3 linked regions of the Kluyveromyces lactis genome follow. The protein of the gene in region 1 purifies or fractionates together with the protein of each later gene. This does not show direct contact. Links are inferred from orthologs where the notes say so. Each region holds a gene or a part of one and is shown in the gene's direction. Other genes may lie near its edges. The genes, in order: SRO9, RPS3 and KLLA0_A04730g.

What was found.
Region 2: the proteins of SRO9 (region 1) and RPS3 purify together in Saccharomyces cerevisiae (affinity purification with western blotting; 3 studies listed by BioGRID, with this or other methods). This does not show direct contact. The link is inferred for Kluyveromyces lactis from reciprocal best matches to the Saccharomyces cerevisiae genes SRO9 and RPS3.
Region 3: the proteins of SRO9 (region 1) and KLLA0_A04730g purify together in Saccharomyces cerevisiae (affinity purification with western blotting; 4 studies listed by BioGRID, with this or other methods). This does not show direct contact. The link is inferred for Kluyveromyces lactis from reciprocal best matches to the Saccharomyces cerevisiae genes SRO9 and TIF4631.

The regions. Positions count from the first base shown.
Region 1 is NC_006039.1:93,341-96,828, reverse strand, and holds SRO9 (Sro9p), read left to right. Parts: upstream 1-1,420; coding exon 1,421-2,911; downstream 2,912-3,488. Other genes in the region: KLLA0_C01232g (uncharacterized protein), read right to left, coding at 1-512; ATG22 (Atg22p), read left to right, coding at 3,227-3,488. UniProt on the Saccharomyces cerevisiae protein: May overlap in function with tropomyosin and may be involved in organization of actin filaments. Acts as a multicopy suppressor of RHO3 mutation. RNA-binding protein which may modulate mRNA translation.
Region 2 is NC_006040.1:705,055-707,475, reverse strand, and holds RPS3 (40S ribosomal protein uS3), read left to right. Parts: upstream 1-1,137; coding exon 1,138-1,851; downstream 1,852-2,421. Other genes in the region: SHR3 (Shr3p), read left to right, coding at 2,271-2,421. UniProt on the Saccharomyces cerevisiae protein: Component of the ribosome, a large ribonucleoprotein complex responsible for the synthesis of proteins in the cell.
Region 3 is NC_006037.1:422,187-425,947, reverse strand, and holds the start of KLLA0_A04730g (uncharacterized protein), read left to right. Parts: upstream 1-1,019; coding exon 1,020-3,761. Other genes in the region: proteasome regulatory particle base subunit RPT6, read left to right, coding at 1-338. UniProt on the Saccharomyces cerevisiae protein: Component of the eIF4F complex, which interacts with the mRNA cap structure and serves as an initial point of assembly for the translation apparatus.

The DNA.
Region 1 (3,488 bases):
TCTCGAGGATCGTAAATTGTAATACCGATTTCTGTTACGATATTTGTATCTCGTTCGTAAGCCTCTAAATCCACACAAAATAGGATAGTCTTCTTTAAGTTGATGCATTCAATTGCATTCTTCCACTTTTTCCATTCTGATCTACCAGGATAACATTGCAATTTTGGCTTGGCCGCATCCCGAATCCGATCACAGAGTAAAGCATCAGAAGGGGTTACATCTGAATGGAAAGGACATGTATTGAAGACCTCTTCCTCAAAACGTTGAACTAAAGCTACATGGGACTTCTTCTGTGCGATGTATGTTTTCTTGAGAATGCTTCCGAGGTCTTTAAGGTACAATGCCACCAATTTCTCAGCTAGTTGGTTTCTGACGTACCCATTATACTGGATCTCTTCTGAATTGTCTCCGAATTTTCTTGGCGGAGAGGTCCTTTCCCAATCTTTCAATATTTCTTCTGGAGTCTTGACGCCTAGTGCCTCATAATAAGAATCCAAATCAATGTCTGACATGACCTGCACACACTTAAAACACCTATATTCTCTCCGTGGTTCTTTCGTTCGACGAATATAGATCTTTGGATTAACACAACGAAATAGTAAGTAAATAATACCGCTTAATTCCTCGATGTGAATCTGATACTGCTCAATTTATCAATGTATTCTTTGTGTGATTTATCGTCTTGAGCTGAGCAGAATTGTCGCGCACCTTAAAATCTTAATTGCCTAAAGAAACACCTGTTGTGATTAAATTCCCATGTTTTTTTCATTTGACTTCAAAATTTCAACTTAGTACAGCAGCAATCATCTAAACAGTACCTAGTATGTCAAATAGTGTTCTCTCTTACAACAACGAGCCTCAATTGCCTCCGCTGATGCTCACATCTCAGTAACGTTTTCCTTTGGTTGTATGAGTGAAGTAAACTCTAACATATTATCAGGGTAGAAAATCGATAAACCCTTACACCGCACCACGCACTTTTTTCTTTCTTGAAGCTAACTTTGCTCACTGATGCTCTTCGCTTCTCGTTTTTTTTTTTCAGTTTTGAAAAATCATTGACAAAAGATATGCGATGAGATATGAACAAATTATATAACCAGTAACCTCTTGGAAGACTAATACTATATTTCCACCACTATATTGTGAACAAGCCAAGGCAAGTATAATTCTGTGTAAGCGGTGTACTATTTTTTTTTGACAGAACCAAAGGCATTGATAAAAAGCTTTTACATTAAGTTATTTCCTGCACTCATTTTTTTTGGAGTTGTCTTAGTAAGTGTTAGTTCTAAGTTTTGATCCGACACGTAAAGAAAGCAAATATAACTGCATTGAAATTTGGCTTAAGAGTGTTTTAGTCATCATCAGATTGTTGTTTGAAAGAGAATATAGAAGGAACGAGAGAAAACGTTAGAGAAACAATATGTCCGAAACTGTTACAACTACCACTGTTCCTGTTACTGATACTCCGCATGAAACTGAAGCTGTTTCAGTTGAGGTTGCTACTGCCAGTAGTAACGACACTACTGTTGCCACTGCTAATGATGATGTAGAATCTTCCAGTGTTGATTCTGAAGGAGAAAAGCCGAAGTTAGTGTTGGCACCTTTGCCAAAAAAGTCTCCTTGGGAAGAGACCGGTGTCACTGAATATAAGCCTTTAGATTTGTCAAAGGTTGTTGCGGCTAAAAATAAGAAAGTCTCCAGTTCTAGCAAGTCTCGTAGTAAAGGTACTCCGTCTTTGACCGGTAAGGAAAGATGGGTTCCATTAGATGTGGATATCACTGTTAAAGACAAAATTCCTGATGTCAGTAATGCTAATGGCGGTAAGGGTAAAAAACTGAAAAATAAGACCAAGAAGGATAAGCCAAAGGTTGCCAAAAAGACCAAGGGTAAAGACTCTACCGCGAAGCCCAAAAAGGACTCTGAAGGCGAAAAGAAAGCAACAAAGAAGCAGGATCGCCAGACAAACAAGACATCGAGCTCGAATGGCACCAACGAAAAGATTTCTGTCAATGGAACTACTCCTGCTTCTGCCTCGGGTTCTTCTGATATCACTAAAAACGGATATACTGAAGAGTCTAACCAAGCGGACAAGAGACCAGAAACGGCATCCAGTTCAAACTCTGAAGCTTCTTCCGAAAACGGTATATCTGCTCCACCATCTGCTGAAACTGATGGTAAGAAAGTTGAAAGCCAGCAACGCCGCTTTACTCCTAACTCTAAGCCATTTTACCCAAGAAACGCAAATCACCACAACAACCATGGTCATGGGTACCACCACCAGCATAACAAAAATAACCATAATAATGAGAATCATTACCATGGTTCAAAGTATCAACGTCAACGTTCGTACGCTCCTGTAATGTACCAACAGAATTATACCCCATCGTACGTCTTGGTTAATGAGATTGTCCGTCAAATCCAATATTATTTCAGCATACAGAACTTGAGCAAAGATATGTTCTTAAAATCGCAAATGAATGCTCAAGGTTACGTTCCATTGGCATTGATCTCAAGATTCCATCGTATGCTAAACTTATCTTACGGCGATGTCGGATTGATTCTAGCTGCATTACGAGAATTGAAAAACTCTGAAAACTCCAATGTCAACATTGCTAAATTGACTGAACCTTTCGAAAATGTCGTTGGGAATCCTTTGTTCCAGTATGCATTAAGTTCTAAAGTTTGGACTGCTGACGAATCCATTTCTGAACCAAAATCTTACGACACCGTTGAATTCGTCAGCGATGAATTAGAGCTATTTAAAATTGAACCAATCAACCCAATAATAGATTCATTACCATCCTTCAAACCAAACTCATCTACTGAAAAACACGAGCAAAACCAAGATCAAGATCAACAAGAATCTTCAGAAAATCAAGAAAATCAAAACCAAGAAGTCTCTGTACAATAGTGTTCCCTTGTCAAATATACTCTTTTTATTTTCTACCCGTTCACTGCATATTATATTTAACAATCAAGCTCTCATCCACATAATAACATATATATATACACACACAGTTAATCAAACAACTTCCACTTTTTTTTTTAATATTTGCTTTGCGTAAAAATAGTCGTTATGTGAAATGCTTTCTTTCTCTTCACTTAAAAAAAACCTTTAATTTCGAGGACGTTTCAAGGGAAACAGTTTAGTTTAGACAGTCGAGCATTACCACACCAAAACACTAACCACAGCGCGCTCGAAAACAAACACCACACTTGCGTCGTGATGAGTTATGAGGCAGTTCCTGCCGAGAATTCGGCTTTTATACCTGATCAAGCCAAACGTAATATCAAGGGATGGTATTTCTATTGCTTCTCAAGTGAACCCTTCATAGTCAGCGCTGTTTCCACGTATGTCCCATTATTGTTAGAACAGTTTGGTAGGATTAACGGTGTTAAATTGGATGATCATAGTCTCAGATGCGAAGTGAATGATGATAAGTGCGTACTACCTATGTTTAATGGAAGATGGTTCATTGATACATCTA
Region 2 (2,421 bases), on another chromosome or scaffold:
ACTGTATAGGCAACCAGTAAAAGGATCTACGAGTGAACTAGTAAGTTACAAAGTGGAATTGATTGGCCCATTATAAAGGCTGTGCAGGAGTCCGAACATCTCAGAAAACCATTTACAAAATGAGCTGCCTACCTACATGGTTCTTTCTTTTTATTCACACAAGTTGCACCAATCGATGTGCTTGTTTCGAGTGAGCAAGTAGCTGATTTTCATTTTCTTTTTTTTTTTTTGGCCTTAGGGAAAACTTACTAGGAACATGAAAAGGTAGTTGTTATAATGGATTGTAGTGGGTAGGTAGGTTGAGGCATTTCTGGTACATTCCGTATATTCGAGTGTGCTCGCTGTACCCTCTGCAGGTGTACTGGCTCCCAATATTATTCTTTTTTTTCGTTCAAATTGTGAGAAACAGAGAGAGAGAGAGAAAACGAAACGGCATCCTGTAATTACCCGAAGCAATATTGGGTCATATACCTGCTAAAACCCGGTCAATATTGACGTACTTTCTTTTCGGAATAACAAGTATGCAGCTGTGACACGCCGTGATTGCAACATTGTCTGGAATTCCTATGTTATTTCCCATTTTATTATTCGTTGAAACAATTGTGTTGTCTGTTTCCTAAGTGATGCGAGTTACCACAAGGCTCTCGAGTATTCACATAAACCAATGCAGGGGGTGGAACATCTCGCGTATAAATCCTATTTAGGAACTTCCCCATTAGGAAATGGAGGAACGGTCTTGAAGTTTTCTGTTTACGGCGAGTTTTCTACGCTTACCAGGTGACTTGAAAATATATGTTCCTGGGACTGCTCACCCGGACATTTTTGTTTTAGTTTTTTTTCCAATTTTTTCTGCATTGCCATTTTGGGTACTTATCTCATTGAAAATGTTCATTTATCTGAAGCATTAACCCATACACCACATGTGTTGGTGAGTAAATACTGTCTTTCAGATGATTTTTTCATTTTCACCATACCAATCGCAGCGATTCGGACGGTTTGACGAATATTGTTCTCATCATCGCTTTACAATCTGGTTCATTATGAACATAAGTGCCATTGGACATACAAGATACTTACTTTAGTTAGTTTTATTATCACCTATAATTTCGAGCTCCCCGACGAACAAATAAAGTAAAAATGGTTGCCATTATCTCCAAGAAGAGAAAGCTTGTCGCTGACGGTGTTTTCTACGCCGAATTGAACGAATTCTTCACCAGAGAATTGGCTGAAGAAGGTTACTCTGGTGTCGAAGTCAGAGTTACTCCAACCAAGACCGAAATTATCATCAGAGCTACTAAGGTTCAAGATGTTGTTGGTGAAAATGGTAGAAGAATCAACGAATTGACCTTGTTGATTGAAAAGAGATTCAAGTACAAGCGTGGTACCATTGCTTTATACGCTGAAAGAGTCCATGACCGTGGTTTGTCCGCTGTTGCTCAAGCTGAATCCATGAAGTTCAAATTGTTGAACGGTTTGGCCATCAGAAGAGCTGCTTACGGTGTTGTCAGATACGTTATGGAATCTGGTGCCAAGGGTTGTGAAGTTGTCATCTCCGGTAAGTTGAGAGCTGCTAGAGCCAAGTCCATGAAGTTCGCTGACGGTTTCTTGATCCACTCCGGTCAACCAGTCAACGACTTCATTGAAACCGCTACCAGACACGTTTTGTTGAGACAAGGTGTTTTGGGTATTAAGGTTAAGATCATGAAGGACCCATCTAGAAACACCTCTGGTCCAAAGGCTTTGCCAGATGCTGTTACCATCATCGAACCAAAGGAAGAAGAACCAGTTTTGGAACCTTCTGTCAAGGATTACAGACCAACTGAACCAGTTGAAGCTGCTGAATCTGCTTAAATCAATTGATATCTGTTTGATTCTATATTATTAATTAGTCTATTAAATACCGTTCTTATATGTATAAATATTAAGAAACTCATCAATTCTTTTAAAAATAAGTAATCTATGCCCAGATGACATCGATTAAAACGTCCTGCTTTTATCAATGGATTTTTAAAATGATTTATCGATAGCGCCTTCCGATAATGCCTTTCCGCCTTTCAGTTCCTTTATCTTTCATACTAATCAAAAAAATTCGGTGGGCAAAAATCATGTAAATTATTAAAAAAAAAGAGAATATATAGTGCGTACTGAAAAAACCAATGGCTCAATTATAGATGAATTGTTAACCATTTAATACCACACGTAGGGTCTATACGTTCCATTTTTAAGAGAACGTAGGTATCGCTCACTAAACACATTGACTGAAAGTAAATATGGGCCTAACTTATAAGGATTTTTGTGCTGTAGGTACAGCATTGATCATTGGATCAACTACTTTTTTGATGGGGATCTTCTTTTCTAATCAACCATATGACTATAATATCCTATTCAATCCTGCTGCCACGCCGGAGCATTTTGAGAACG
Region 3 (3,761 bases), on another chromosome or scaffold:
CAAACAGATTGGATATATTGGACCCTGCATTGCTAAGACCAGGTAGAATTGATAGAAAAATCGAATTCCCACCACCAACCGTAGCGGCTAGAACAGAGATTCTAAGAATCCACTCAAGAAAGATGAACTTGACCCGTGGTATTAACCTAAGGAAAGTCGCCGAAAAGATGAACGGATGCTCTGGAGCTGACGTTAAAGGTGTTTGTACCGAGGCTGGTATGTACGCACTAAGGGAACGTAGAATTCACGTAACCCAAGAAGATTTTGAACTAGCCGTGGCCAAGGTCATGAACAAGAACGACGAAACTGCTATCTCTGTAGCAAAATTGTTCAAGTAAGGATCCTTCACCCCTTTCATCTCAAACAGCGCATATCATTAGATACATCCCTACATATTATACATAAGCCACGTACAACACACGCCTGTGGTTGTACCCCCGTGTCAATATGTTTCTAATCAGATCCTCTCTTTTTCCCCCTCATCGCATCTCATCTCGTCATAAACTTGACCATCATGTCAATCTTCTCAATATACACGAAAGAAGAAAAAAAAAATTTTTACATTGTAAAGAGGAAAAGCTGTGAATCTTTTGAAATAAAATTTCAACCTTTAAGCCATTGAATTTTACCATTACGATAGCACATTTTGCATAAAACAGGATAGAGGAAAAGAGGCACAGAGAGCTACTGCTGATCTGATAGTCAATAGATTTATCAGCACTTGTATTGTTTGAATTGTTAGAGAGTAACAGTGGACAGTAAAGAAACAAATCTGGGAAAAAAAGAATCTCACAAGAAAGTGATAATTTTTTTTTGTTCTTCGTTTATTTGTTTAAAGAGAAAGAGTTAAGAATTGGACTTTAATTTCATTCTACTCATTCGTGTTTCTATATAACTCGACTCGTTTTCTCTAGGTACTCTGGATTACTCGGTTACAAGAGAGAAATTAAACAGAAAAGAGCTTAGATCCAGCTAATTTCATCTGAAGAAGAGAGAAAGAGCGGTTTTTCAAAGCAGATATGGGCGAACCTACATCCGATCAGCAACCAGCTGTTGAAGCTCCAGTTGTGCAGGAGGAGACAACCAGTTCTCCGCAAAAAAACAGTGGATATGTCAAGAATACTGCTGGAAGCGGTGCTCCTAGAAATGGGAAATATGATGGTAACAGGAAGAACTCTAGGCCTTATAACCAAAGAGGTAACAACAACAATAATAATGGTTCTTCCTCGAATAAGCACTATCAAAAGTATAACCAACCAGCGTACGGTGTTTCTGCGGGATACATTCCGAACTACGGCGTATCGGCAGAGTACAACCCTCTGTACTATAACCAGTACCAACAGCAGCAACAGCTGTACGCTGCTGCTTACCAGACTCCAATGAGCGGACAAGGTTATGTCCCCCCAGTAGTGTCTCCAGCTGCTGTTTCAGCTAAACCAGCGAAGGTTGAGATTACTAACAAGTCTGGTGAACACATAGATATTGCTTCCATTGCTCATCCACATACTCATTCTCATTCTCAATCTCATTCGCGTGCAGTTCCAGTAGTGTCGCCTCCAGCTAACGTTACCGTCGCTGCTGCTGTATCATCCTCTGTGTCTCCATCAGCTTCTCCAGCTGTCAAAGTACAGAGCCCTGCTGCTAATGGTAAGGAACAATCTCCAGCTAAGCCTGAAGAACCAAAGAAGGACACTTTAATTGTGAACGATTTCTTGGAACAAGTTAAAAGACGCAAGGCTGCTTTAGCTGCTAAGAAGGCTGTCGAAGAGAAGGGTCCTGAGGAACCGAAGGAATCTGTCGTTGGAACTGACACTGATGCAAGCGTTGATACTAAGACAGGGCCTACAGCCACTGAATCTGCCAAGTCTGAAGAAGCTCAATCAGAATCACAAGAAAAGACTAAGGAAGAGGCTCCAGCTGAGCCAAAACCATTGACTTTGGCCGAAAAATTGAGACTTAAGAGGATGGAAGCTGCAAAGCAAGCTTCTGCTAAGACCGAGGAACTAAAGACTGAAGAATCTAAGCCTGAAGAAACAAAGACCGAGGAGCTAAAGACTGAAGAATCTAAGCCTGAAGAAACAAAGACCGAGGAGCTAAAGACTGAAGAAACAAAGTCCGAGGAACTAAAGACTGAAGAACCTAAGGCGGAAGAATCAAAGGCGGAAGAACCAAAGCCTGAAGAACCAAAGACCGAGGAACCGACGACTGAACAACCAAAGTCAGATGAACCAAAGTCGGAAGAATCAAAAACTGAAGAGCCAAAAACCGAGGTATTAAAGACTGAAGAACCAAAATCGGAAGAATCAAAGCCTGCAGAACCAAAGACTGAAGAAACAGCAACTGAAGAAACAGCAACTGAAGCAAACGCCGAAGAAGGTGAACCGGCTCCTGCTGGTCCCGTTGAAACTCCTGCTGATGTTGAAACAAAACCTCGAGAAGAGGCTGAAGTTGAAGACGATGGAAAGATTACCATGACCGATTTCCTACAGAAGTTGAAAGAGGTTTCTCCAGTTGATGATATTTATTCCTTCCAATACCCAAGTGACATTACGCCTCCAAATGATAGATATAAAAAGACAAGCATTAAATATGCATACGGACCTGATTTCTTGTATCAGTTCAAAGAAAAGGTCGATGTTAAATACGATCCAGCGTGGATGGCTGAAATGACGAGTAAAATTGTCATCCCTCCTAAGAAGCCTGGTTCAAGCGGAAGAGGCGAAGATAGATTTAGTAAGGGTAAGGTTGGATCTCTAAGAAGTGAAGGCAGATCGGGTTCCAGGTCCAACTCGAAGAAGAAGTCAAAGAGGGATGATAGAAAATCTAATAGATCATACACTTCCAGAAAGGACCGTGAAAGATTCAGAGAGGAAGAAGTCGAAGAGCCAAAGGTTGAGGTTGCCCCATTGGTCCCAAGTGCTAATAGATGGGTTCCTAAATCTAAGATGAAGAAAACAGAAGTCAAGTTAGCTCCAGACGGAACAGAACTTTACGACGCGGAAGAAGCATCAAGAAAGATGAAGTCATTGCTGAATAAATTGACATTAGAAATGTTCGAACCTATTTCTGATGATATCATGAAGATCGCTAACCAATCTAGATGGGAAGAAAAGGGTGAGACTTTGAAGATTGTCATCCAACAAATTTTCAATAAGGCCTGCGATGAACCTCATTGGTCATCAATGTACGCGCAATTATGTGGTAAGGTCGTTAAAGACTTAGATGATAGCATTAAAGACTCAGAAACCCCAGATAAGACTGGTTCTCACTTGGTTTTGCATTACTTAGTCCAAAGATGTCAAACTGAATTCCAAACAGGATGGACTGATCAACTACCTACAAACGAAGACGGTACTCCTCTACAACCTGAAATGATGTCCGATGAATACTATAAGATGGCTGCCGCTAAGAGAAGAGGTTTGGGTTTGGTTCGTTTCATTGGTTTCTTGTACCGTTCGAACTTATTGACTTCCAGAATGGTCTTCTTCTGTTTCAAGAGACTAATGAAGGATATTCAAAACTCTCCTACTGAAGATACTCTAGAGTCTGTATGTGAACTTTTGGAAACAATTGGTGAACAGTTCGAAGGTGCTCGTATTCAAGTTACTGCAGAAGCTGTCATTGAGGGTTCAAGCTTGCTAGACACACTATTCGACCAAATAAAGAACGTGATCGAAAATGGTGACATCTCCAGCAGAATCAAGTTTAAGTTGATCGACATTGTCGAACTAAGAGAAAAGAGGAACTGGAATAGTAAAAAT